4 linked regions of the Stegostoma tigrinum genome follow. The protein of the gene in region 4 interacts with the protein of the main gene of each other region in a pairwise test. Links are inferred from orthologs where the notes say so. Each region holds a gene or a part of one and is shown on either strand. Other genes may lie near its edges.

The links.
Region 1: the proteins of txlna (region 4) and dtnba interact in binary tests that used the Homo sapiens proteins (3 or more experiments, as listed by UniProt). The two-hybrid records come from large-scale screens. The link is inferred for Stegostoma tigrinum from reciprocal best matches to the Homo sapiens genes TXLNA and DTNB.
Region 2: the proteins of txlna (region 4) and deuterosome assembly protein 1-like interact in binary tests that used the Homo sapiens proteins (3 or more experiments, as listed by UniProt). The two-hybrid records come from large-scale screens. The link is inferred for Stegostoma tigrinum from reciprocal best matches to the Homo sapiens genes TXLNA and DEUP1.
Region 3: the proteins of txlna (region 4) and ccdc146 interact in binary tests that used the Homo sapiens proteins (3 or more experiments, as listed by UniProt). The link is inferred for Stegostoma tigrinum from reciprocal best matches to the Homo sapiens genes TXLNA and CCDC146.

What each region holds. Positions count from the first base shown.
Region 1 is NC_081357.1:130,868,078-130,875,170, reverse strand, and holds the start of dtnba (dystrobrevin, beta a), read left to right. Parts: upstream 1-3,906; 5' UTR 3,907-4,128; intron 4,129-7,093.
Region 2 is NC_081359.1:48,534,045-48,541,372, reverse strand, and holds the start of deuterosome assembly protein 1-like, read left to right. Parts: upstream 1-4,175; 5' UTR 4,176-4,202; intron 4,203-7,328. Other genes in the region: neutral amino acid uniporter 4-like, read right to left, coding at 3,710-3,731. UniProt on the Homo sapiens protein: Key structural component of the deuterosome, a structure that promotes de novo centriole amplification in multiciliated cells.
Region 3 is NC_081378.1:24,325,084-24,332,733, forward strand, and holds the start of ccdc146 (coiled-coil domain-containing protein 146), read left to right. Parts: upstream 1-4,494; 5' UTR 4,495-4,945; intron 4,946-5,681; exon of another isoform or gene 5,682-5,746; intron 5,747-7,650. Other genes in the region: protein FAM185A, read right to left, coding at 1-87, 3,356-3,881. UniProt on the Homo sapiens protein: Essential for sperm flagellum biogenesis and male fertility.
Region 4 is NC_081377.1:47,670,204-47,677,826, reverse strand, and holds the start of txlna (alpha-taxilin), read left to right. Parts: upstream 1-4,505; 5' UTR 4,506-4,618; intron 4,619-7,623. UniProt on the Homo sapiens protein: May be involved in intracellular vesicle traffic and potentially in calcium-dependent exocytosis in neuroendocrine cells.

The sequences.
Region 1 (7,093 bases), on a different chromosome or scaffold from region 4:
TAGCTATATTAATGAGGTGAGGGATGGCATTGTAGTTTATATGACAAAATGTATCGCTAAATTTAAGAAACACAATTATTAATTAGCCGTATATAAAGGACTTTTGGATAAACATGGCAGACAAATCTCATGTAACATGTCTTTAAAAATGCACTATTTATGCCTAACATAGCCCAAAATCAGATCATTTGCTGCTAAAAATCTCATCCAAGCTCTTGGTACTTTTAAGCTTGACAATTTATGTGTGCTTCTGGCTCGCCTAACATGTTCTGCCTTTTGTAAACGTAAAACTCTGCTGTCCATATCTAAATCCTGTTCACCTATAACTACCCTGTGCTCATTAATTTACATTGACTCATGATTAAACAGTATCTTTGTTTTGAAATTCTCAATCTTTATCTTCAAAACCCCCTCATAGCCTTGCTGCCTACACCCCCTCCATCACTACCATCTCCACCAGTCTTATAACCCTTTTTTTGCACAGTCTCAATTCTGCTGCTTTATGTCTTCCTGATTTTAATCATCCCCCATTATTGGAAATCCTACCTTCAGCTGCTAAGTTTCTAAGCTTTAGCATCTCCTCCCTTCACCTCTATATCTTTTTATTCCTTTAAGATGCTCTTTAAATACGAACTCTTCAACAAAGCCTTTGTTTATTTTCCTTAGTTGCTCCCATAGGACTGGGTGTCAGTTTTTTCTTTGTAATATACCTCACAAACACCAATGAATGTTCTACTACATATGAGGTACTATTGCAGTGCAAACTGTTCTTAATACAGTAGGATCATAACTCGTTTCAGGAACTCGAACCTGTTGCTCTACAATATTCTTTTCCTGCAACTTCTTTTTTCCCCTTAGCTCTGCTGCTGTTCTGTGAAACTTCTGATCAAATAAACTATCAAGTGTTAGTCAACTGAATGAGCCAAGAAGAGGCCCTTCATGTTTTTTTTGGGATTGAGGGCTGTTCCACATATGCAGGCATCATTCCATTTCTCTTATGATAAGAGATCAAAACACATTTAAGAAGTTACTCAGTAACTTCTGTCATTATTGTTCTGTAGCCGAGAATGACTTCCCCTCAGACCAACTGGTACTTTGTGCTTAGCTTTCACCTAGAATTTGTCCAAATTTTCATCCCTCCTGAAAATAAGACCTTTGGAAAATGTATGTATGTGTTATTCCACAGAAGCACAGAAACACAGAAGATAGGGGCAGGATGACACCATTCGGCCCTTCAAGCCTGCTCTGCCATTCATCATGATCGTGGCAGATCATTCCTTCTTTCTCCCCGTAACCTTTGATCCCATTCACCCCAAGTGCTATATCTAGTCACCTCTTGAATATATTCAGTGTTTTGGCATAAACTACTTCCTACGGTAATGAATTCCACAGGCTCATCACTCTTTGGGTGAAGAACTGTCTCCTCATCTCCGTCCTAAATAATCTACCCCAAATCCTCATACTGTGACCCCTGGCCCTGGATACAACCACCATCGGGAATATCCTCCCTGCATCTACCCTGTCCAGTTCTGTTTGAGTTTTATAAGTCTCTATGAGATTACCCCTCATTGATCTGAACTCTAGTGAAAACATTCCCAACCTAATCAATCTCTCTGTCAATCCTGCCATTCCCTGAATCAGCCTGGTAAACCCTTGCTGCACTCCTCCGAGAGCAACAGCATCCTTCCTCAGAAAAGGAGACCAAACTACGCACAATATTCCAGGTGTGGCCTCACCAAGGCCCTGCATAACTGCAACAACACACCCCTGTTCCTATACTCAAAACCTCTCACAATAAAGGCCATCATACCATTTACCTTCTTTCCTGCCTGCTGCACCTGCATGCTTACCTTCAGCAACTGATGCACAAGGACACCCAAGTCCTGCTCCACAGTCCCCTCTCCCAATTTACTGCCATTCAGGTAGTAATCTGCCTTCTTGCTTTTGCTTCTGAAGTGAATAACTTCACATTTATCCAAATTAGGCTGCATCTGCCATTGATCTGCCCACTCACTCAACCAGTCCGGATCTCTGTACCTACATAACAGTTCACCCTCCAACCCAACTCGGTATCATTTACAAACTTCAAGACATTACATTTTGTTGCCTCATCCTAATCATTGGTCTATATTGTGAAAATCTGGGGTCCCAGCACCTATCCCTATGGCACCCCACTAGTTATTGCCTGCCAATTTGAAAAGGACCCATTAATTCTTTGTTTTCTCTCTGCCAAACAGTTTTTTATCCATCTCAATATACTTCCCCCAGTCCCGTGCACTTTAATCTTGCACATTAATCTGTGAGACTTTGTCAAAATGCTTACTGAAAGTTCAAATGTACTACATCGACTGGCTGCCCTAGTCCAATCTACTAGTTACATCTTCATAGAATTCTGACAGATTTTTCAAGTATGATTTCCCCTTCATAAATCCATGCTGACCCGGTCTGATCCTGCCACTGCTTTCTAACTGTTCTGCTACAAAATCTTTGACAATGGGTTTGAGAATTTTCCCCACTACCGATGGTAGGCTCACCGATCTACAATTCGCTGTTTTCTCTGTACCTCCCTTTTTGAATATTGGAGTGATATTAGTGACCATCCAGAGTCTATAGAATCCTGGAAGATGACCACCAATGCATGGTCTATTTCTAGAGCCACTTCCTTAAGTACTCTGGGATGTAGATTATCAGGCCCTGGGGATTTATCAGCCTTCAATCCCAACAATTGTCCCAGCACTATTTCTCTACTAATATTGCTCTCCCTCAGCTCTTCCATCTCACTAAATCTTGCATTCTCTAACAGTTCTGGTGTCTGAATTGTGTTGTTCTTTGTGACGGCAGAACCATTCAGTTCCTCAGGCACTTCCTTTGTCCTCCATCATACATTCCCCCATTACCCTCTGTAGGGTCCTACATTTGTCTTCACCAATCTCTTCCTCTTCACGTACCTATAGAAACTCTTCCATTTGTATTGGTGGATATTTTCTCAGTGTGAGAGTTTGCCAGTGTGCCTTTTGTTGATGCTAAGTGTCATCAAGACCATAAGCCTTAGGGTTGCCACTTTAAGGACTTGAGCACATCATCATTCCTATATTGAGAACAGTGACTATACTGTGAAAGTACTTCATTGACTGTAAAGCACTTTGGGATACCCTGAGGTTGTGAAAGCTGTGCTGTGCAATGTTTAGTTGAAGATTCTACCTTTTTGCAACATGTTTCTCCGGTTATTAAATTTCTGAACACTGCAACAGTACTTTTTAAATGTTTGTTCAGTTTGTCAAACTGCTTGCAGATTTTACACTTATTGGATATTTACCCCTCAATTATTTTCTTTTTATTTCTGATTATATTTAAAGAATTTTATTAAAATCTGAATTAGTCTAGTTTTAAAACTTATTAAAGATCACTTAGAACTGAAGAAGTGTTTGTTTAATTTAGATATGTGTTAAGATTAAACCTTTACCTCATTAAATTTTCACATTTAATCCCTGAAGTGCATCTTCATATGTGGCCTGAATCAGAATCAAGCATTTTCTGCTTATACTCCTCTACATGTAACTGTAAACTGTCATTTCATTTCTAAATGTAATTTTTAAATGAACGTGTAGGCAGAACGTGAAGTCATGTAGTTTCAGTAGAAATCTTGCTGTAATTTCGCCAGAATGAGGGGCAGTGTGCGGATTAGCTGGAACAATGTCAGCTTTGGGCGAGTGGAAACTATCTGGTGTATTTTTTTAAAAGAGAAAGGGAGGAAGTAATTGCTTCCTCCTTCTTTCTCCCCCAGCATCTTTGAGGGTGCCTTCTCCACGCCTGATGTCTGAGTGGCAGCAAGCTAGCTGCTGTTATTTGTCAGGGAGTTGCTAGTTCAGCCCAGTTAGCTGCATGACGCATTCCCCAGCTCGGAGCTCTTACAGGCTAATGGCTGGTGTTGTCTGTCTCTCTGAACACTGGCCGGTTCACTGAGCTGCTGATTGGTGAAGCAGCCTCAGCCAGATGTGGTATTAACTGTTGGAGGAATGAAGTAGAGGGAGAGAGAGAGAGGAAGACTGTGGGCAGGCAACAACAGCCTGGCGGTCGGTGCAGTGATCTGAGCGTGGAATGAGGAACCGGAGCCCTGCTGCTGTGCAGGTCAGTTACAGTATCCCTCACATCCCTCACTGTAGGGGCAGCTTGGATACACTTCTTTCCAATACACAGGGACGCAGCCCTTACCTTCCCTTCAGGATCCAACATTACACAGAGATGCCTTGGACCCTCCCATTCCCGACTTTGTGCAGTTTCACGGCCGAGCAGCGTGTCCTTGAAGATTTCCGATCCTGGGCCACAGCGTCCCTGGCTGGGTAGCCGGGACAACGGTCCCCTTCCCGGACCTCTCACTGCTGAGGCCAGCCCGAAGCTCCGGGAGGATGTGCGGGCTCCTCACGTTTTCACCCACAGATTGGAAATGCGGTGATGGTTTTTATGGTGGAGGGGGCACTGAGAGGGCCAGGGTACTGTGTGGGTGCAGCATTTGCTGCCCGGTTAACGTTGTAAACTCTGCCTGCATTGAATTGCAGAGGTTAGAGCGCATTCCCGAATTGGGAAACATCAAAGCTGCCTTGTTATTTCCCGTGTAATTGTGCCGGAATTAATAGTGTTTGATTTTTGGTGTTGAACATTCTCTCTCCGGCTATGGTGCCCCTGTGTGTGCGGGTTGGTGTGCTTTGTGATCAGTTGGATTTACAGCAACAACATTAAACAGATTTTATTCCTACTTGCCATCATTGTGTTCTCCCCTCTAAAACTGAAAGTGTTTTTTTTAAATGTTAAACCTCTAGCTCTAGCTGGTCGGTGAGAGACTGGCTGTCAGTGCAGCACCTCAGTACATTGACACGCTTATCCAAACATTGCTCACCTTTTTTTTCCACATTCTAGTCCCGCCTACTCGCATTTATATGATTGCAGAAATGATGCCAAAAGCACAGTTGTATACATTGGAAAGCCAACGATTCCTCTTCCTCAGTCTTCTCTGAAACTATTTTACGTAAATTTGGTTTCTGATAAAGGGAAAAATTGGAGCTTCATTATTTTGGGGCTAATCCAGCAAGAGTATTCCACGTCTTTCTTTTTAAAAAAGGGAAACTGTACTCATGTAGCACCAGGCTCCTGGGTAATGATAGCATGTATGGTGCAATACTTCCAACTGGTTTTAGTGGTTTACTAATTAAAAGTGGCTGAATTAAAAGGCCAATGCACAGACCATTGATTTCAGACTTTATTTTACATTATTATTATATTGCTACTTCATCTATGAAGTATATCAGTACCTTAAAACATAAAAAAAATTCTTGCTGGGCATCAGGTATTTCAGATGCAGCTCCTATCTTTTTGGGTGGCACAGTCGATCTTGTAAACACACACAATGAGTAAAATGCTTTCATGATACATTTGTGTTTTATGTCAACCTCGTCTAAGCCACATTGTCAGAATTTGCCGCTTTCCATCCTTTATTTGGTTTTATTTGATTTACTGTAGTCACGTGGACCTAAGTACAGTGAAAAGTTTTGTTTTGCATGCAGTACAGGCAGATGATAGCATACAAGGACATATGAATGATTGAACAGAGCAAGGCATGCAAAGTTATGGCTGCACAGGAGGTGTACACAAGAAAGATCAACATTAGTTCTGAAATTAGAGCGGCCCATACAGCAGTCAAATAGTGGCAGGGAGGAAGATGTCTTGAACCTGTTGGTGCGTATTTAAGCTTTTGTACCTTCTGCCTGGTGAAAGAGGCTGGAAGAGATTATAACTGGAGTGGGACGGAGTCTCTAATGCTGTTGGCTGCTTTTCCACAGCAGTGAGATGTATGGATGGATTCAGTGGATGGGAGATTGCCTTGTGTGATGGACTGGACTGTGTACACAACTTTCTGAAGTTTCTTACCGTCCTATGCGGCTGGTTGCCATACCAAGTTGTTATACACACAGATAGACTGCCTTCAGTGGTACAGTTGTAAAAGGTAGTGAGGGTTCTTACGGACATGTTGAATTTCCTTTGCCTGCTGAGGAGAAAGCGGAGTCATTGTGCTTTCCTGACCATCACATTTATGTGGATGGACCAGGACAAGTTGTTGGTTATGGCTGGCCCCCAGGAGCCCGACAGTATGGATCCTGTCCACCTCACTCCCTGTAGTCTATACAATACACTCTTCACCTCTTTCTCAATGTTTCACTCAGCACTTGGTATTTTCAATTTGAATCTTTCATAAGAGGAGAGTTAAATGCAAGAATTCAGATCAAAGACTAATTTTTTGTGAAGTGTACTAATGTCTCTAGAAACTCATTTTGCAAAACGTAACTGTAAAGGCGCTGTCATGCAGATTTACAGTATCCAGAAGGCAAGGTGCTAGGCATTCATTAGTTTTTAAGTTGACATGTGACTGGTTAATTTTCTCACAGTGAGGCCAAGTTTGTACATGATGTGTAGTCTTAGTTTGAAACTGAGAGAGTTTTTGTTGGCGAGTGATTATCTGCTTATTTTCATGTGACTGCGAGCAGGTGGCCCTGAGGAACAGAGTGAACAGGCAGAGTTGGCTTAATTAGGACAATATGACCTGAAGCTGTGAGGCACCTGTGAAACACAGAAGGCACACACCTGAGCAACATACATGTCACTTTTTAACCTGAGTTTCTCACCGATATTGACATCATTAGCTTGAAGGAGTAATCATCCACCAGTACTTAGGGGGTTGGAACAGCAACAAAAACAAGCTGTGTACGTTTAAGTAAAAACCGAAAGAACTGCAGATTTTGTAAATTAGGAACAAAAACAGAAGTTGCTGAAAAAGCTCAGCAGGTCTGGCAGCATCTGTGAAGAGGGAATCAGAGTTATTGTTTCGGGTCAGTGACCCTTCCTTAGAACTTCCTGATTTTTAATTCCTGATTTTTCTTCTCAGATGCTGCCAGACTTGCTGAGCTTTTCCAGCAATTTCTGTTTTTGTTCCGATATTTAAATGAAGTTGGTTGACAGGTTGTTATTCATGGGATTCCACAATGTTCCACACAAGGGCCCCTGTTATTTAGAGTATACATGAAGAGACTTGGATGACAGAACT
Region 2 (7,328 bases), on a different chromosome or scaffold from region 4:
ACCCTTCGAGATACACAGGCCTCCAGGCTGAAAAGTAACCTTCCACCACCATTTTCGGTCTTCTACCTCGAGCCACTTCTGTATCCAAATGGCTGGTTCTGCTCATATTCCATACAATGTAACCTTGCTAACCAGGCTACCATAAAGGAACTTTGTCAAACTTCGTACTGAAGACCACCACTCTACCCTATTCAATCCTCTTCATTAAATTAAAGTTTTTTGAAGAAGTAAAGTTCGTGAGACACAGTTTCCCACACACAAAACTACGTTGACTATCCCTAATCAGTCCTTGCCTTTCCATATACAGGAACATGAAAATCCTGTTCCTCAGGAGTCCTTCCAACAACTTGCCCAGCATCACATTACATTTTGAATTGAATATTTTACAAAATAGCTAAGACAAATTGTTTAAGGCCCAAAACGTCAGCTTTTGTGCTCCTAAGATGCTGCTTGACCTGCTGTGTTCATCCAGCTCCACACTTTATCTCAGATTCTCCAGCATCTGCAGTTACCATTATCTCTGAAGACAAATTGTTTGACCATATATCTTCACAAAAACACTTATTTAAGACACATCTGATTGTCTTATCTGACCACAGCCACATAAGACAAGAATATAGACTGACCAAGGGAGTATTCGTTCATTGCTGGTGTCAAATTTTGCTTTTAATACATGAATGAAACGTTCTACATTCAACAAGTTAACTGCAAGAGAGTCAGAGTTATACAGCATGGAAGCAGAGCCTTCAGTCCAACTCATCCATGCCAACCAGACATTGTTGTTAAACTTTGCTTCTAATATATGAACAAAATGTTCTGCATTCACCAAATTATCTCAGTTATACAACATGGAAAGAAAGTGTTCGGTCCAACTCGTCTATGCCAACCAGATATCTTAAACTGACCGAGTCCCATTTGTCAGCATTTTGCCCGTATCCCTCAAAACCCTTCTATTCATGTACCCAGATGCCTTTAACATACTAGATACATTCATTCATTCACAGTAAGTGTCAGGCACAGTGCAAGTAATTAAAAAACTAGTCTCTAACCAAAAAAATGAAACTTTCCCACGTCTAAATATTGTTAGTTTCTTTATAAACAACAACATTTTCATGGGATGTTACTTCTCTCCTCATAATCACAGCAACTGTGCGTTTACTTGCTAATGAACTGAGCCGATCGGCTGATTTTTGATGCATTAACCATGAGTTATGTAGTGATATATCATAACGGGAAGGCAGCAGTCATCATTCCCCGCAGCATCTCAGGAGCACAAAAGCTGGCATTTCGGGCCTAGACCCATCAGAGAGGGGGATGGGGTGAGGGTTCTGGAATAAATAGGGAGAGAGGGGGAGGCGGACCGAAGATGGAGAGAAAAGAAGATACGTGGAGAGGAGAGTATAGGTGGGGAGATAGGGAGGGGATAGGTCAATCCAGGGAAGACGGACAGGTCAAGGAGGTGGGATGAGGTTAGTAGGTAGGAGATGGAGGTGCGGCTTGGAGTGGGAGGAAGGGATGGGTGAGAGGAAGAACAGGTTAGGGAGGCAGAGACAGGTTGGACTGGTTTTGGGATGCAGTGGGGGGAGGGGACGAACTGGGCTGGTTTTGGGATGCAGTGGGGAAGGGGAGATTTTGAAGCTGGTGAAGTCCACATTGATACCATTGGGCTGCAGGGTTCCCAAGCGGAATATGAGTTGCTGTTCCTGCAACCTTCGGGTGGCATCATTGTGGCACTGCAGGAGGCCCATGATGGACATGTCATCTAAAAAATGGGAGGGGGGAGTGGAAATGGTTTGCGACTGGGAGGTGCAGTTGTTTATTGCGAACCGAGCAGAGGTGTTCTGCAAAGCGGTCCCCAAGCCTCCGCTTGGTTTCCCCAATGTAGAGGAAGCCACACCGGGTACAGTGGATGCAGTATACCACATTGGCAGATATGCAGGTGAACCTCTGCTTAATGTGGAAAGTCATCTTGGGGCCTGGGAATTCCTCCAACTTCCTACAGACTAAGGGGGTGGCCATGGGCACCCGCATGGGCCCCAGCTATGCCTGCCTCTTTGCAGGTTACGTGGAACAGTCCCTCTTCCGAACCTACACAGGCACCAAACCCCACCTCTTCCTCCGCTACATTGATGACTGTATCGGCGCCACCTCTTGCTCCCCAGAAGAGCTTGAACAGTTCATCCACTTCACCAACACCTTCCACCCCAACCTTCGGTTCACCTGGCCATCTCCAGCACATCCCTCACCTTCCTGGATCTCTCAGTCTCCATCTCAGGCAACCAGCTTGTAACTGATGTCCATTTCAAGCCCACCGACTCCCACAGCTACCCAGAATACACCTCCTCCCACCCACCCTCCTGCAAAAATTCCATCCCCCATTCCCAATTCCTCCGCCTCCGCCGCATCTGCTCCCACGATGAGGCATTCCACTCCCGCACATCCCAGATGTCCAAGTTCTTCAAGGACCGCAACTTTCCCCCCACAGTGATCGAGAACGCCCTTGACCGCGTCTCCCGCAACACATCCCTCACACCCCACCCCTGCCACAACCGCCCAAAGAGGATCTCCCTCGTTCTCTCACACCACCCCACCAACCTCCAGATACAACGCATCATCCTCTGACACTTGCGCCATCTACAATCCGACCCCACCACCCAAGACATTTTTCCATCCCCACCCCTGTCTGCTTTCCGGAGAGACCACTCGCTCCGTGACTCCCTTGTTCGCTCCACACTGCCCTCCAACCCCACCACACCCGGCACCTTCCCCTGCAACCACAGGAAATGCTACACTTGTCCCCACACCTCCTCCCTCACCGCTATCCCAGGCTCCAAGATGACTTTCCACATTAAGCAGAGGTTCACTTGCACATCTGCCAATGTGGTATACTGCATCCACTGTACCTGGTGTGGCTTCCTCTACATTGGGGAAACTAAGCGGAGGCTTGGAGACCGCTTTGCAGAACACCTCCACTCGGTTCGCAATAAACAACTGCACCTCCCAGTCGCAAACCATTTCCACTCCCCCTCCCATTCTTTAGATGACATGTCCATCATGGGCCTCCTGCAGTGCCACAATGATGCCACCCGAAGGTTGCAGGAACAGCAACTCATATTCCGCTTGGGAACCCTGCAGCCCAATGGTATCAATGTGGACTTCACCAGCTTCAAAATCTCCCCTTCCCCCACCGCATCCCAAAACCAGCCCAGTTCATCCCTTCCCCCCCAATGCACCACACAACAAGCCCAGCTCTTGCCCTCCACCCACTACATCCCAAAACCAGTCCAACCTGTCTCTGCCTCCCTAACCTGTTCTTCCTCTCACCTATCCCTTCCTCCCACTCCAAGCCGCACCTCCATCTCCTACTTACTAACCTCATCCCACCTCCTTGACCTGTCCGTCTTCCCTGGACTAACCTATCCCCTCCCTACCTCCCCACCTATCTTCTTTTCTCTCCATCTTCGGTCCGCCTCCCCCCCCGCTATTTATTCCAGAACCTTCACCCCATCCCCCTCTCTGATGAAGGGTCTAGGCCCGAAACGTCAACTTTTGTGCTCCTGAGTGCTGCTGGGCCTGCTGTGTTCATCCAGCCTCACATTTCATTATCTTGGATTCTCCAGCATCTGCAGTTCCCATTATCACAGCCATCATTCCCCACCCAGTCCCATGGCCTCAGTTCCAGCCCCCGTAATTCCGATTGCCCAATTACCTATTTCCTCCCCGTGCTCCATGTCAATTGCTGCGCCACGTCACACGCCGCCTCCTCCTACAACGGATTTCCTTGATTCAAACCAATTCGAAGCAACAAAAAAGAAAATCAAATATAAATTTTGACAGGCCGCTGCTCGAATTAAACGTGATTCTGATGTTTTATCCTCCCACTTCGCAGGAAACATTAAGCCCTTGGAAGAGGCAAATTAAAAAACTACAAGTCCACAGAGATAGCGTCGATCTTCCCCGGCGTTAGTTTCTCGGGAATGCCCACCCTGTCAACGGCCAGTTTTAACTGCAGCATGAGTCGGTCATTGGTGAAACACAGATACCAACACAGTCACACCATGAGAACTCAGACCCCAGCACGTCCCCAAACCACAGATGTCATAACCAAGAGAGAGCGCATGTGCAATCTCCTCCCCTCCCTTCCGAGCCCAGACTGCGTGCGCGCCGAGCCTGCCTCAAGCAAAATGTGCGCTCTTTAGAAAGTAAGTGTAAACTCTCTTGACTGCCTGCCCAGGAAATATTTAAATTCAGTATTTTCTTTCTGGCAGACTGGGCCCATGCATTTTCCACACAGATTTTCTTCCCTTCGTTTTAATTTCCTGATTCACTTGTCTGGCCACTGTTATTTGATATTCCAATTAATTTAGTTATTTTACACCAGACCTTTGGAATGTGTTTGCGGCAGTTTTATGGCTTTAATTGCCCGATAAATATCGGAGAAGAATTCGTTCATTCAGATCATCAAGTCAGCTCTGCCATTCGATTAAGGCCAATATGTTTCTCAATTATATTCTCTTGCCTTCCCCCTGTAACCTTTGATCCCCTTCCTAATCAAAAACCTATCTTTGTCTTAAATACACTCAATGACTTGGTTATCACAGCATTCTGCAGCAACCAATTCCACAGATTCACCACTTCTATCTGAAGAAATTCCTCCTCAACTCAGTTCTCAAGGGTCCTCCCTTCACTTTTAAGCTGCACCCTCAGTTCCCTGTCTCCTCTACTGGTGGAAACGTCATCTCTGCATCCACTCTATGCAGGCCTGTCAGTATTCTGTAAGTTTCAATGAGATCTCTTCCTCATCCTGGATGAGCAGCATGGACAAAATGGGCTGAAGTGCCGTAGACATCTACGACTCAATAACTCAACCGAGTACAGAACCACAATCCTTAACTGCTCCATATATGACAATCCTTCATGCCCAGGATCATCATTGTTCTCAGGGTCACCGGACCTGAAACATTAACTCATTTTTTTTCATCTGCCAGACCTGCTGAGCTTTTCCAGCAACTTCTATTTTTGTTCCTGATTTACAGCATCCACAGTTCTTTCAGTTTTGTTCAGGTCATGGGTGACACGGTGGCTCAGTGGTTAGCAATGCAGCCTCACAGCGCCAGGGACCCGGGTTCGATTCCTGCCTCCCGTCTGTGTGGAGTTTGCACGTTCTCCCCATGTCTGCGTGGGCTTCCTCCAGGTGCTCAGGTCTCCACCCACAGTCCAAAGATGTGCAGGTTAGGTGGATTGGCCATGCTAAATTGCCCATAGTGTTCAGGGGTGTGTGGGTTATAGGGGCATGGTTCTGGGTAGGATGTTTCAAGGAGCGGTGTGTACTCGTTGGGCCAAAGAGCCTGTTTCCACACTGTAGGGAATCTAATCTAGTATTTAACTCACTATTACATCTCTGCTAGGCATGCCCACCTTGAAGAAGTTTTGCTCCTCTTTCCAACGGGATTTCCATTTCCATCTTCTTGCCCACCGACATTAATTGTCACTCGCAGTGTTTAACCAAGTATTTGCTAAAACTCGTTTCCACAGCCATATCACATTCCTCAGTGACTGCCTCAGGCTTAACTCACCCCTTGTGGATTCTAACTGAATTTTCATCCCTCATGTTTTGAATTCTCCCAGAATCACAGTTATCTCCATGATGTTCAATGTTCCACGGACAATTACTCTTGCCACATCCTGAGATCCACTCTCTCTGCCATGTGGCGTCACATGCTCAGACTCAATATTTCTCTCCAATAGCGTCACAACATGCTGGCTCAGAGCTGCACCACTCTACAGTTTCATTTCATCCTCCAGCTCATTCGCCGTGCTAACATGAAACATTTTCTTTTCCTTTCAGGCATCAAGGTCCACAAGATGCAACTTCTCAAAGCTACCCATGGCTCTCTGGAACCTTCCTCTCCCTTCCTCCCCTCCGATTCCATTCCCTCTTCCAAGTCCACCTCCTGTCAGCTATTCACCATCCCTCTTAACCTTCTGCTCTCTGATGGTGAATGTTCTGTACTCAGCAACAGCCTCAGCCTTATTCCTCTGCGTCCCTACCTGAACAAATTTCAGATATGACATAATGCCGAACTGTTCTTTCGCTGTCTTCAGCTCCGTGCCCATTTCTTCAGGCAACAGTTCAAAAACACAAGAATTTTTTTTAAGTTGTGAGGAAGGATCACTGGACCCAAAATGTTAACTCCTAATTTTTTCTTCGCAGATGCTGCCAGATCTGCTGAGCTTTTCATTCAACTTCTGTTTTTGTTCATTCTTGTAAGCCTCCTCTGACCCCCTCCAACATCAGCACATCTTTCCTTAGAGACAGGACCTGTCCTTCTGTCTATCTTTGTGTCATTAGCAAACTTAACACCAATTCCTGCAGCTCCTTTGTTCAGATCAGCAATGATTAATTTGAATAGCTGCGGTCCTGACACTGAATCCTGTGGAACTGCACTAGTCACCAGCTGCTACCCTGAAAAAGACAACTTTAAACTCAGCCTTCTGCCAGTTAGCCAATCCTCAATCCATGCCAGTACCTCATCCCACACACAATAGCCTCTCATGTTATTTATCAGCCATCTGTGTAACACATTGTCCAAAATCATCTGGAAATTCAAAAACAGATTATGTGTACTGGCTCCCCTTCATCTATCTTGTCATTGCCTGTAGGATTGAGCGAAAATCCTTATCATTTAAAATACCGGACTAAAACCCTGGGCTTTAAAAATTAAATAAAAAGGCAGCTAGGCTATGCTCTGAGCAAATACACAGTAACAGAGACAGCTGCCTGGAACTATTGTTCAATTACAAAATCTAATTCACACCTCAACCCTAAAAGAATAATTCACTAGACCTAAGAAACCAACTTAATCCAGACATCACGGAGCCTTTCCAGATACCAAGACATCCAATTTCAATTAAGAAGCAGGAAAATTGATGTTCCGGGTCAGGACCCTTCTTCACAATAAACCCATTTCTGAAGAAGAGTCCCATCAACTTTCCTGCTCCTCTGATGCTGCCTGGCCTGCTGTGTTCCTCCAGCTCCACACTGCTGTCTCTGACTCCATCATCTACAGTTCATGCTGTTTCCAACTTCAATTAATATTCATTTACAGAAATACCAGACATTCCATCTATTCAAAATACATTTACACTTACTCTAAACTACCAAGAAGCCATTTCACGTCAAAAGTGGGGCAACAGTAGTACAATACAACTGGGAAGCACAGATTTGGCACAAAGGTAAGAGACCTGCAATTTAGTATAATTGCAGGCCCTGTCTCACCTGAAAAAAGAAAAAGAGTAATCCTCACAAGCTACCCCTGCAGTTACCA
Region 3 (7,650 bases), on a different chromosome or scaffold from region 4:
GCCCTTTTTCAGTCTCTACATAGCAGTTATCACTCTCCATTTTTTTTATTTTGACACATCCTTTATGAAAGGTGCTAATGTCCAGGTCTGCAAACAGAAATATGAAGTTTAAAAATGAATTTTAAAAAAGAAAAATCAGTCAAGAGACAACATAAAATCATCTGCTTACATATCTTAAAATACACAGTACATTTGCAATTATATTCCCATTGCTTTAAAAATGCATTGTATGTAAAATGGGAATGTTTAGTTGAACAAGCTTCTCTATAGTACTAATAGAACAAAAAACCTCATCTGGGCCCAGAAGAGCTTAGGGTGAATTGGAATGAGGAAAGATGATAATTTGGAAGAAGATTTACAACTTCCCTGTCATCAACTTTATCAACCTCTTACCATTAAAAGGGGATATATAGTTCAGAGAACTGTGGATGGATTAGTGATTTGAAAATGGTTGTTTTATACATAAAGATTGAGACTGTATTCATTACAGTTTAGAAGAAAGCAAGGTTTGTCTTATTGAAATAAGATTCTGAGGGGACTTCTCAGAGGTGCAGGGAAGAGGTTTCCTTTCAGGGAATCTGTCTAGAACTGGGGACAATTTCAAAAGGAGGGGCCTCTCAAGACGAATGAGAAGGAATTTCTTCTCTTGATGGGTCATAAGTCTTTGTAATTGTCTTCCACAGGGAGCAGGGGAGGCAGGCTCATTGAATATATTCAAATCCAAGTTAGATAACTCTTTGATGCATCAAAAAAATTTACAGATTATGGGAACAGATAGGAAATTGGGGTTAACACCATAAATTGGTCATAAGCCATAAATGGTGTTGTAGGGTCAAAGGGACCAAGTGGTTTACTCCTACTCATAATTTATGGCCTTACAACATTAAACTATTTTCATATGAGAGATAATTTTGCCTAAGTATACCTTGAAGGACGTAGTAAGTCAATCAAAACTCTAATTCCACAGACAAATTAAAAGTTGCATAACAACTACTTTTTACCTATCCTTACAAGCCACCCATATAAACTATCTTATTTCACACAAACTTCTAAGGACATAAATAAACACACACAAAAACAACAAACAAAAATTGACAAAAGACTTTTTCCTCCTCCTCATAGATGCAACTGCTGTGTCATCTGGGTCTTGTCACAGACAGCTGTGGGGCAGAGTTCTTGTGAATATTTAAGGCTAAGATAGATTCTTGATCAAAAAAAAAAAAAAAAAAAAAAATCGGGGAATCAAGGGTTATGGGGAAAGAGCAGGAAAGCGGACGTGAGGAATACTGGATCTGCTATAAATATATTGAAAGACGGATCATGTTTGATGGGCCAAACAGCCTGCTCCTGTTCCTATTTCGTAACGATCTAAGCCTGATCACATGCTCAAAACTAACTCCAGCAGCTCAAGCACATAAACCTCCCCCCCACCCCCAAAAAATGCTGAAACTCTGAAGCAAAACAGTCAGTAAAGTGATTCTCATAAATGAGTCTAATGCTAAAGCATTCGTCCCCTGCTGAACTAAGCGTGTGTATGTTGCATGCACTCTACATAAAACAGCAGTAAGTATTTAATTAACTTGGGATCCCCTTAGAATGGGTACTGACAGTGCAACATGTAGATAATTTCCCATTATTTCCATGGCCTTTTTATATTGGTTCCAAAATATCCATGGTAACTTCCAAAAGCCACTAAAAACGACGACAGGTACACCACTGTTTTAAACACATGGAAACAATTAGCAGATTTACAGAAGCAGCAAAGGAAACATGCCCGGATCCAAATTGTTTTTATGCTCCGGGCATCACGATCTCTTTTGGATCTCAAACTACTAGGGTTTCGCTGAAAAGACTGGCACCCTTCAAAACAAAAACGGGGATAACACGATGTGAGATAATAAAATGTGAGGCTGGATGAACACAGCAGGCCCAGCAGCATCTCAGGAGCACAAAAGCTGACGTTTCGGGCCTAGACCCTTCATCAGAGAGGGGGATGGGGTGAGGGTTCTGGAATAAATAGGGAGAGATGGGGAGGCAGACCGAAGATGGAGAGGAAACAAGATAGGTGGAGAGGAGAGTATAGGTGGGGAGGTAAGGAGGGGATAGTCAGTCCAGGGAAGACGGACAGGTCAAGGAGGTGGGATGAGGTTAGTAGGTAGGAAATGGAGGTGCGGCTTGGGGTGGGAGGAAGGGATGGGTGAGAGGAAGAACAGGTTAGGGAGGCAGAGACAGGCTGGGCTGGTTTTGGGATGCACTGGGTGGAGGGGAAGAGCTGGGCTGGTTGTGTGGTGCAGTGGGGGGAGGAGACGAACTGGGCTGGTTTTGGGATGCGGTGGGGGAAAGGGGAGATTTTGAAGCTGGTGAAGTCCACATTGATGCCATTGGGCTGCAGGGTTCCCAAGCGGAATATGAGTTGCTGTTCCTGCAACCTTTGGGTGGCATCATTGTGGCACTGCAGGAGGCCCATGATGTACGTCATCTAAAGAATGGGAGGGGGAGTGGAAATGGTTTGCGACTGGGAGGTGCAGTTGCTTATTGCGAACCATTGCTTATTGCAGGAACAGCAACTCATATTCTGCTTGGGAACCCTGCAGCCCAATGGCATCAATGTGGACTTCACCAGCTTCAAAATCTCCGCTTCCCCCGCTGCATCCCAAAACCAGCCCAGTTCGTCCCCTCCCCCCACTGCACCACATAACCAGCCCAGCTTTTCCCCTCCACCCACTGCATCCCAAAACCAGTCCAACCTGTCTCTGCCTCCCTAACCTGTTCTTCCTCTCACCCATCCCTTCCTCCCACCCCAAGCTGCACCTCCATCTCCTCCCTACTAACCTCATCCCACCTCCTTGACCTGTCCGTCTTCCCTGGACTGACCTATCCCCTCCCTACCTCCCCACTTATACTCTCCTCTCCACCTATCTTCTTTTCTCTCCATCTTCGGTCCGCCTCCCCCTCTCTCCCTATTTATTCCAGAACCCTCACCCCATCCCCCTCTCTGATGAAGGGTCTAGGCCCGAAACGTCAGCTTTTGTGCTCCTGAGATGCTGCTGGGCCTGCTGTGTTCATCCAGCCTCACATTTTATTATCTTGGATTCTCCAGCATCTGCAGTTCCCATTATCACTAACACGATGTGAGGCTGGATGAACACAGCAGGCCAAGCAGCATCAGGGGAGCAGGAAAGCTTGACGTTTCGGGTCGGGACCCTTCTTCTTTCAAGCTTTCCAGCTCCTTTGATGCTGCTTGGCCTGCTGTGTTCATCCAGCCTCACAGCGTGTTATTTCAGATTCTCCAGCATCGGCAGTTCCTACTACCTCCAAAACGAAAACAGGGTTCAGTTTCACAAAATGCACTTACCAAACTTTACCGGAGTGACCAAATCGATGCGAGTATCGCCGCTGATTTTTTCAGAAGTCACCACCATCTGTTTCAGAGCCTTGTCGTACTTCACCAGAACATCGTCCATATTCTCCCCTTGGTTTGGGGAAATGAGTTCGACGAAAGCGCGGTCAGCCGACGGGTAGCCGTGCGGGTCCAGCGGCTTCACCGACACATCGCAGGGCAGGCGCACCTTTAAAGAGCCGAAAGGATCTACCAGCAGAGTCCAGCGTTTCAAGGCGCTACCCTTGTGCCGGGAGTCCAGGCAGCGGGTGCCCGACACCGACCTCCAAGGCCGCAGACGGGCAAAAGACGGGCCGCATTCCCTCGGCAAAAGCGCTGACCAGCCTCGGCGGAAAAACAGAGGGAAGGAAGTCATGCCGGAGCCGAAACCAGGGACAGAATACCGGATCCTCCACGGCTCAGGAGAAAACCACAACGCCAACTTTCTGTTGTTATGGGTAGAGGAGAAAGTGCTGTCGGGAGTTGAAGTCCGCGCACGCATCTTTAACCGGACGATTGCGAACTACAATTCCCACAATGCAGTACAAACGGTTGCAGCTGTCCAAGCATTGCAGCGAGCAACGAAGAGCAACTAAGATAATAAAATGTGAGGCTGGATGAACGCAGCAGGTCCAGCAGCATCTCAGGAGCACAAAAGCTGACGTTTCGGGCCTAGACCCTTCATCAGAGAGGGGGAGTGGGAGAGGGAACTGGAATAAATAGGGAGAGAGGGGGAGGCGGACTGAAGATGGAGAGAGAAGAAGATGGGTGGAGAGGAGAGTATAGGTGGGGAGGTAGGGAGGGGATTCGTCAGTCCAGGGAAGACGGACAGGTCAAGGAGGTGGGATGAGGTTAGTAGGTAGGAGATGGGGGTGCGGCTTGGGTTGGGAGGAAGAACAGGTTAGGGAGGCAGAGACGGGTTGGACTGGTTTTGGGATGCAGTGGGTGGAGGGGAAGAGCTGGGCTGATTGTGTGGTGCAGTGGGGGGAGAGGGCGAACTGGGCTGGTTTAGGGATGCGGTGGGGGAAGGGGAGATTTTGAAGCTGGTGAAGTCCACATTGATACCATTGGGCTGCAGGGTTCCCAAGCGGAATATGAGTTGCTGTTCCTGCAACCTTCGGGTGGCATCATTGTGGCACTGCAGGAGGTCCATGATGGACATGTCGTCTAAAGAATGGGAGGGGGAGTGGAAATGGTTTGCGACTGGGAGGTGCAGTTGTTTGTTGCGAACCGAGCGGAGGTGTTCTGCAAAGCGGTCCCCAAGCCTCCGCTTGGTTTCCCCAATGTAGAGGAAGCCACACCGGGTACAGTGGATGCAGTATACCACATTGGCAGATGTGCAACTGTCTGTCATGCGCACAATAAAACAAAGAACTCAGGACGCCATAGATCTGAAAGAAGAAGTCGCTGGCAAAATTCTCAAGCTGGTAGCAACCGTGTGGAGAAAGCAGAGTTAACTCTCTGGTGAACAGATGCTGTCAGACCTGCTGAATTTCGCTAACAATTTCTGTTTTTGTCGCAGGAATGCACCTGTTCAGATACGTGAATAACACGGCTCTGGAGCAGGTGGGACTTGAACCCGGATCTTCTAATTCAAAAGGAGAAGCTTTACCACTGTACCCCAATTGTTGATGTCATTCAAAGAAATTTTTACAAAATAAGCGATTTTTCGCGAAATGTCTTCTGATGTAGATCTGCCGAAGGGTTCATGCCAAAGGCAGTCCTGCTGTTCATCCAGCTCCACACTTTGTTATCTCTAATTCCCGAAATGTCGCCTTCTCCTTTCCAAGTTATGTTGCCTAGCTTGCTGTGTTTTGACAGCCTCCTATTTGTCTACCTTGGTTCACAACTGGGTTCAGCGGATTTCTTTTGTATAACTTGAAGGACAGTTGGTGAGAGATTTAAGGCTGCACAAATATAAATAAAGGAAATGCGTTCGTAGTATCTAAGTCGTATTAACAATTAGTCTGCATTGCATGAGGGAAATGAGTTTATTGTTGGACTTTGAGATAGTAGGAAATGCAGATGCTGGAGAATCTGAGGTTAACAAGGCATAGAGCTGATGAACACAGCAGGTCAGCCAGCATCAGAGGAGCAGGAAGGCTGACGTTTCGGGTTTGGACCTTTCCTGCTCCTCTGATGCTGCCTGACCTGCCGTGTTCATCCATCTCGACGCCTTGTTATCTCTTATTGTTGGGCCTTTCCGGGTTTCCGGGATTTATTTTAGTAGCTTTGCTATTGGTCCAGATGAATCCCATGTTGCCCAATGGCTGGGTGCGAACTAACTGTGTGTATGGTTGCTATGGAGATGACGCTTGTTGACCACAAACTGGAAGAGGATCCCGGAGAGTGTCAGCAGCTCCTCAGGTACATCTCAAAGGCGAGGGCTTCAAATCTAGACGGCGCAGAACAGAAAAACAAAAATACCAGAAAGGCACCGATTACAGCTTTAATCCACAAACTCTAGTGTTGATGTTCTGACCCACACCATCACCAAGTGTGCACCCGCCCCATGTGGACTGACCACTCCTATCCCACTCACGGCCTTGTCTACACTGACCATCCCCTGGCCTATGTGCACTGACCACCCCACGTCCTGTGTAAACTGACAACCTCCGCGCTCTGTGCAATGTCCGCACCGCCGACCTGTGTGCACTGACCACTTCCCCTGCCCTGTGTTCACTGACCACCTCTGCCCTTGCCATGTCTGCATCAACCCCCAATATGTATTCTGACCACACCTACCCCCCCTCAAAGCCCAGTCTATATTGACACCCCTCCCCTGCCATGTGTGTACTGATCTCCTCCTGCCCTGTCTGCAATGACCTCTCCCCTGCCATGTATGCACTGACGTCTTCCCTGCCCTGTGTGCATTGATCACCTTCCCTTGCCCTGTGTATAATTACCACAGTACCCTGGCACATTGAACCACCATCCTATCCCGACCCTTTGCTCACTCACCTCCTTTATGGAATCAAGAGGTGAATTACCCAATGCAGATTTCTAAGCTCAGAAGCAGAAGTTGCAGGAAAAGCTGAGTTGGTCTGGCAGTGTCTGTTAAGAAAAATCAGTTAACTTTTGGGTCTGGTGGCCCTTCTTCAGAACAGACCCAAAATGTTAACTCTGACTCTTAGAACATAGAACAATACAGCGCAGAACAGTCCCTTTGGCCCTTGATGTTGCGCCGACCTGTGAACTAATCTAAGCCCCTCCCACTACACTATCCCATCATCATCCATATGCTTATCCAAGGACTGTTTAAATGCCCCCTTTTACTTCATAGATGCTACCAGAACCACTGGGCTTTTCCATTAACTTCTGTGTTGTTTTTTCCTGATTTACAGCATCCACAGTTCTTTCAGTTTTTGTTTGCAGTGTTCTAAGCCTTGGACTTGCTGTTGTAGCCACAGTACTAACATAGCTAGCCTAGTTCAATTTCTGGTCAATAGTGATCTCCAAGATGTTGTTTGTGGTTTTCAGTGATGCTAAGGGTGGCACAGTGGCTCAGCGGTTAGCACTGCAGCCTCATAGCACCAGGGACCCAGGTTCGATTCCAGCCTCGGGTGATTGTATGTGTGGAGTTTGCACATTCTCCCCATGTCTGCGTGGGTTTCCTCTGGGTGCTCCAGTTTCCTCCCACAGTCCAAAGATGTGTAGGCTAGGTGGATTGGCCATGCAAAATGGCCCGTAGTGTTCAGGGGTGTGTGGGTTATAGGGGGATGGGTCTGGGTGGGATGCTTCAAGGGGCGGTGTGAACTTGTTTGACTGAAGGGCCTGTTTCCTCACCGGAGGGAATCCAATGCTATTAAATGTCAAGGGCGGATGGTTGAATTCTCTTACTGGAGATGTAATACTGGGCAAAAATATAACTTGCCTCTTATCAGCCCAAAACTGGATGTTGCTCAGGTTTTGCTGCTTTTGAATGTACATGGACATATTCAATAGTTGAAGAGTTGCGAATGTTGTTGAACATTATGCAATTGTCAATAAACATCTCCAGCTGAAGATGACTGAGGCAAGAACACTACCTTAGGCAACTCCAGCAGTGATGTCATGTGGTTGAGATGGTTTGACCTCCAAGAACCACAGCTATCTTCCTTCGTGCTTGAATATGACTTCAACCAATGTAGATTCAACCCCTTAGTTCCCATTGACTCTAGTTTGCCAGGGCTTATTGATGCATAATCAGTCAAATACTGCATTGATGTTGGCAGTCTCAACTCACCTCTGGAGTTCTGTTATTTTGCCCATGTTTGGACCAAGGCTGTAAC
Region 4 (7,623 bases):
CTCTGTGTAAAGAACTTTCCACGCATGTCTCCCTTCAGGTTTTCCCCTCTCACCTTGAAATCGTGACCCCAGTAATTGAATCCCCCACTCTGGGGAAAAAGCTTCTTGCTATCCACCCTGTCTATACCCCTCATGTTTTTGTAGACCTCAATCAGGGCCCCCTCAACCTCTGTCTTTCTAATGTGAATAGTCCTAATCTACTCAATCTCTCTTCATAGCTAGTGACCTCCATACCAGGCAACATCCTGGTGAACCTCCCTTCTGCACCTTCTCCAAAGCATCCACATCCTTTTGGTAATGTGGCGACCAGAACTGTATGCAGTATTCTAAATATGGTTGAATCAAAGTCCTATACAACTGTATAGAACTGTGTATGTGTGTATGTGATTGTCTGTGCGTGTGCGTGTGTGTGTGTATATATCTATGTAATTATCTGTGTGCGTGTGTATGTTTATGTGATTGTGTGTTTGTGTGCGTGTATGTGATTGTCTGTGTGATTGTGTGTATGTATGTGGTTGTGTGTGTATGTGATTGAGTGTGTGTGTGTGAGAGAGATTGTGTATAGAACATAGAACATTGTGTTTGTGTGTGTGATTGTGTGTGTGTGTATGTGATTATGTGTGTATGTGATTGTGTGTAACTGCATGTGCGTGTGATTGTGTGTGTATGTGATTTTCTGCATGTGCGTGTTTGTGTATGTAATTGTGTGTGTGTATGTGATTGTCTGTGTGGGTATGTGATTGTGTGTGGGTATGTGATTTTGTGTGTGAGATTGGGTGTGTAATTGTGTATATGTGTGTATGTGATCTTCTGTGCATGTATGTGATTGTGCATGTGTGTGTTTATGTGATTGTCTGTGTGAGTATGTGATTGTGTGTATGTGATTTTTTTTGTGTGTGTGTGTGTGTGTGTGTGTGTGTGTGTGTGTATATATAGAGTATAGTGTGTTGGGGTCACTTGTAGTGTGAAATGTACCCAAGATCCCGGTTGAGGCTGTCCTCGTGGACACTGAACATAGCTATCAGCCTCTGATTTGCACTTGCACATTTATAATTGTAGATACATTTTTTTTGCTCAAAAAGCACAGAAATTGCAGACAATCCGTATTGTATTTTATAAATTCCTGCTTTAGAAATAACATCATCTGACTCCAAATTGATACACAGCCAGGTTCTAAACAAGGCCTCACACTTAAAATATTAGGTTATTTTCTCTCTCCATGGATGCTACCCAACCAGTTGTGATCTCCAACATTTTTGCTCAGCATGGATTTCAGCAACTGCAATAATTTGTTCCTACATTGCGTTTATTAATGTCTGCGTTGAATACAAGCTGAAGGAGGTGTATACAATGTTGGTTTAGCTACAGCTTGATTACTGTCAGCTTTTGTGCTCCTAAGATGCTGCTTGTCCTGCTGTGTTCATTTAGCTCCACAGTTTTGTTGTCTTGGATTCTCCAGCATCTGCAGTTCCCATTATCTCAGACACAAGGGGATGTTTTCTTTAGAGCACAGAAAGCTGGAGAGGGAACCTGACTGAGGCGAACACGCAGCTTACAGGCAGGGAACAAAATGTCCCTTCACCCTGAAGGCAAAGTATTATGTTGGAGCCCCACCCCCTTCGCGCCCCGCCCCCTCTGTCGCTCCACCCCTTCTCCCGTCCGGCTTTTGCCCAGCCCCCCCCACCCATTCACTGGATCCTTCCCCTTTAGCCGCAACCTCGAGTCCTAGCCGCACCTTCCCAGCTTCTGACTGAAAAAAACTGTAATTGTTTGAAGTCGGAAACAATAACAGAAACTGTTAGTGAACCTTATCTATGGACAGAGATACAGAGTTAACATTTCTGATCCAGTGACCTTTCAGAATGTAACAAGGTGTGGACATGGATGAACACAGCAGGCCAAGCAGCATCTCAGGAGCACAAAAGCTGACGTTTCGGGCCTAGACCCTTCATCAGAGAGGGGGATGGGGTGAGGGAACTGGAATAAATAGGGAGAGAGGGGGAGGCGGACCGAAGATGGAGAGTAAAGAAGATAGGTGGAGAGAGGTTTGGTGAGGAGGTAGGGAGGGGATAGGTCAGTCCAGGGAAGACGGACAGGTCAAGGAGGTGGGATGAGGTTAGTAGGTAGATGGGGGTGCGGCTTGGGGTGGGAGGAAGGGATGGGTGAGAGGAAGAACCGGTTCGGGAGGCAGAGACAGGTTGGACTGGTTTTGGGATGCAGTGGGTGGGGGGGGAAGAGCTGGGCTGGTTGTGTGGTGCAGTGGGGGGAGGGGACGAACTGGGCTGGTTTAGGGATGCAGTAGGGGAAGGGGAGATTTTGAAACTGGTGAAGTCCACATTGATACCATATGGCTGCAGGGTTCCCAGGCGGAATATGAGTTGCTGTTCCTACAACCTTCGGGTGGCATCATTGTGGCAGTGCAGGAGGCCCATGATGGACATGTCATCAAGAGAATGGGAGGGGGAGTGGAAATGGTTTGCGACTGGGAGGTGCAGTTGTTTGTTGCGAACTGAGCAGAAGTGTTCTGCAAAGCGGTCCCCAAGCCTCCGCTTCGTTTCCCCAATGTAGAGGAAGCCGCACCGGGTACAGTGGATGCAGTATACCACATTGGCAGATGTGCAGGTGAACCTCTGCTTAATGTGGAATGTCATCTTGGGGCCTGGGATAGGGGTGAGGGAGGAGGTGTGGGGACAAGTGTAGCATTTCCTGCGGTTGCAGGGGAAGGTGCCGGGTGTGGTGGGGTTGGAGGGCAGTGTGGAGCGAACAAGGGAGTCACGGAGAGAGTGGTCTCTCCGGAAAGCAGACAGGGGTGGGGATGGAAAAATGTCTTGGGTGGTGGGGTCGGATTGTAAATGGCGGAAGTGTCAGAGGATGATGCGTTGTATCCGGAGGTTGGTAGGGTAGTGTGTGAGAACAAGGGGGATCCTCTTAGGGCGGTTGTGGCGGGGGCGGGGTGTGAGGGATGTGTTGCGGGAAATACGGGAGACGCGGTCAAGGGCGTTCTCGATCACTGTGGGGGGAAAGTTGCGGTCCTTAAAGAACTTGGACATCTGGGATGTGCGGGAGTGGAATGTCTTATCGTGGGAGCAGATGCGGCGGAGGCGGAGGAATTGGGCAGAGGGGATGGAATTTTTGCAGGAGGGTGGGTGGGAGGAGGTGTATTCTAGGTAGCTGTGGGAGTCGGTGGGCTTGAAAACCACCCTACCAACCTCCGGATACAACGCATCATCCTCCGACACTTCCGCCATTTACAATCCGACCCCACCACCCAAGACATTTTTCCATCCCCACCCCTGTCTGCTTTCCGGAGAGACCACTCTCTCCGTGACTCCTTTGTTCGCTCCACACTGCCCTCCAACCCCATCACACCCGGCACCTTCCCCTGCAACCGCAGGAAATGCTACACTTGTCCCCACACCTCCTCCCTCACCCCCATCCCAGGACCCAAGATGACATTCCACATTAAGCAGAGGTTCACCTGCACATCTGCCAATGTGGTATACTGCATCCACTGTACCCGGTGCGGCTTCCTCTATATTGGGGAAACCAAGCGGAGGCTTGGAGACCGCTTTGCAGAACACCTCCGCTCAGTTCGCAACAAACAACTGCACCTCCCAGTCGCAAACCATTTCCACTCCCCCTCCCATTCTCTTGATGACATGTCCATCATGGGCCTCCTGCAGTGCCACAATGATGCCACCCGAAGGTTGCAGGACCAGCAACTCATATTCCGCTTGTGAACCCTGCAGCCGAATGGTATCAATATGGACTTCACCAGTTTCAAAATCTCCCCTTCCCCAACTGCATCCCTAAACCAGCCCAGTTCGTCCCCTTCCCCCACTGCACCACACAACCAGCCCAGCTCTTCCCCCCCACCCACTGCATCCCAAAACCAGTCCAACCTGTCTCTGCCTCCCTAACCTGTTCTTCCTCTCACCCATCCCTTCCTCCCACCCCAAGCCGCACCCCCAGCTACCTACTAACCTCATCCCACCTCCTTGACCTGTCCGTCTTCCCTGGACTGACCTATCCCCTCCCTACCTCCCCACCTATACTCTCCTCCCCACCTATCTTCTTTACTCTCCATCTTCGGTCCGCCTCCCCCTCTCTCCCTATTTATTCCAGTTCCCTCTCCCCATCCCCCTCTCTGATGAAGGGTCTAGGCCCGAAACGTCAGCTTTTGTGCTCCTGAGATGCTGCTTGGCCTGCTGTGTTCATCCAGCCTCACATTTTATTATCTTGGAATTCTCCATCATCTCTGACACTACACCTGGTTATCTCAGATTCTCCAGCAGCGGCAGTTCCTACTGTCTGTGCTACACCTTTCAGAATATTTTTGTTTCTGGTCAAAGTGCATTTTGGGAACAATCGATTCCCTCAAAACTAGGTACCTGCCAATCTACATTACCCGAAGGTCTGCGCGACAACTTCCACGCATAGCCGGAAGCACTCTTCTGAAAGCCGATTGGTTATTCGCCTGGCGGTCACTGGTGATGCTGTTAGGAAGACGCCGGCGCACTTCCGGTTAGTGCGGGTGCGAATCCGGACGGACTGAGTGGTCGCGTCGCTGGAACCTGAGGAAAGTCGCGGATCCGTGGTGTACCTTGTGTGTGGGAGGGTGAGTGTGCGGTGGACTTCCTCCCCCGTCTCTGATTTACCTCACGGAGGCCCAAAGCTGTTAACCGAGACCGTGGTTAACGCCGGGGTTTACTTGGAGTTTTGAGCCGGGCCCAGGCCGTATCTGATGCGCACTTTAGCGCTGATCCCGAGCTAACGCCGAGTTTTGCCCCGGGATCGACAACGTGCGGCGCGGTTGAGGCTGATTTTCCTGTTTGTTGCGCATCCGCGCCGTCACAATGTGGAAATATGTGCCTCCCGGGCTGTCCTGAAAACTCCTGTTTGGTTCATATCCACTGAAAAGGGATTTGTGTTTGTACGGAACAATCTGACCCTGAAACTCGCGTCGGTAAATGCTGCTGAGTTTTCAGGTTAAACTCTTGGTTTTTCGGTAGATAATTCTTTCTCTATAAATCAGCCTTGATGTCTGTAACAATTTGGCATATATGATTAATATGTTGATTTTCAGCAAACGGGTTGTAACTGACACCTTTGGGACATTTCGATTAATCGAGTTCATTCCACCCACAAAATATGGGATTTACCGACCATTATCTCTCCCCGTGCAGTCGTCTTGGGCACGATTTTGGATGAATACTCCTAGCTAATAACAAGACTAAGATATAGGAGCAGAATGCGCATTCGGCCCATCACATCTGCTCCACCATTCAATCATTCCTGTATTTTCCGCGTAACTCTTGAACTCAGCTGTCTCTGTCTTAACACCACCCATTCGGCTGGTGTCAATAAATTCCACAGATTCATCATTGTCCAGCTGAAAAAAATTCCTCATCTCAGTTCCAAAGGGTCATCCCTTAAATCTGAGCCTGCCCTCAGATCCTAGATTCTCCTACTAGTGGAAATGCCTTTTTCAAGTCAACTCTATCCAGGTTTATCAGTATTCCGTAAGTTTCAATCAGGTCTCTTCCCTCCACGACCCCCCCCCCCCAAACCTCCATGTATCACATGGCCTTATTTTCTCTCCTATATCCTGACTACTGCTAGGAGGCCTGTAGGTAACTCCCATCAGTCATTTATCCTTTGCAGTTCTGCAGCTCTACCTGGATTCTACTTTGCGATTCTTTTATATGACTTTTTGCTATCAATTTAATTTCATTTCTTACTACCAAGGCAACCTCACCCCTTCTGGCAATCTGTTTGTCCTTTCAATAGGATACATATCTTTGGGTATTTGGTTCTCAGCCCTGATCTCCTTGCAGATGTGTCTCGGGTACCTGCCAGTTTCAATCTGCACCACCGGCTCATTGACTTTGTTTTGTGCACTGTGTGTGTTTAAATATAAAACCTTTAGTCCTATGTTGACTGGCTCCCATCCTTATCTGCTGTGCCTGAAGTTAGATTATTGACCCTTTCTGTACTCTGTCCTTTTAAAGTTTTCAGAACAATTAATAACCTTGGCTGACAAATTCCACCACCCCCCCCCCCACTTTAACTTATTCCTGCATTTTTTAGTTTAGTTCTATCCACAGCCCTAGTTGGGTGATTCACCAGGACTTTGGTCCTAGCATGGTTCAGGTGGAGCCCATCCTAACAGAACAGCTTCCTCCTTCCCCAGCACTGGTGCCACGGTCCCATGAATTTGCACCCATTTCTCCTGGGCTAATCTTTGAGGTTCGTGTTTCCTCTTGAATTTTGTTGACCCTATGTCAATTGGTTTATGGGTCAGGTAGTAATCCAGAGATTATTATCGTTTTGGTTCTGCTAATCAATTTATCCCTTTATCTGTTTATATTCCCTCAGCAGAACTTCTGTCCTCTTTCTTCCTATATAATTGATACCTACATGGCCCATGACAACTGGATTCCTCTTCCTCCACGCCCCCCCACACACAAACACGCGCACACACACAAACACACGCGCACACACACAAACACACACGCGCACACACACAAACACACACGCGCACACACACAAACACACACGCGCACACACACAAACACACACGCGCACACGCACAAACACACACGCGCACACGCACAAACACACGCGCACACGCACACGCACAAGCGCACACGCACACGCACAAGCGCACGCGCACACGCACAAGCGCACGCGCACACGCACAAGCGCACGCGCACAAACACACGCGCACGCGCGCGCGCACACACGCGCCTGGGCACCAGGCAGATTACACAACCTCTTGAACTCTAGATCGGACCACAGAACTGTCTGTTCCCCTGATTATAATGACATTTCTCTCTTCTGCTCCATCCTGAATGGCACCTTGTTCCTCCTTGCCATGGTAGTTTGCTCCAGCTTCCCATTGCTCTGCTGTCATCCACATCGGGAGCAGGAATCTCGGACAAAAATAGAAATTGCTGGAAAAACTCAGCAGGCCTGGCAAAATCTGCAAAAAGAAAACAAAGTAAAATATTTCAGGTGCAGTGACTCTTCAGAACAAGAAATAGAAAACATATCTGCAGTCTCCTTGCAGTTATCCTTCTTACTAAGTTTTTTGTCATCTGAAAATTTGGTGATATTACATTTAGTTCCCTTAGCTAAATCCTTTTTATTCATTATTGGGATGTGAATGTCACTGGCTGGCCAGCATTTAATGTCTATCCCTAGTTGTCTTTGAGAAGGTGGTAGTGAGCTGCCTTCTTGAATTACTGCAGTTCATATGGGTCAACCGACAGCATAATGCCATCAGGGAGGAAATTCCAGGATTTTGACCCAACGACAGATAAGGAGCTGTGATATATATCCAAGTCAGGATGTTGAGGACTTGGTGGGGAGCTTTCAGGTGGTGGTGTTACCGTGTATCTGCTGCTCTTATCCTTGTAGATGGAAGTGGTTGTGGGCTTAGAAGGTGCTTCTAGGGTCTTTTGAGAGTTTCTGCAGTGCATTTTGTGATGGTAGACACTGCTGCTATTCAGCGTTGGTGGAGGAGGGAGTGGATGCTTGTGGACATAGTGCCAATCAAGTGGGCTGCTTTGTCCTGGATGATGTCATGCTTCTTGAGTGTTGTTGGAGCTGCATCTGGGG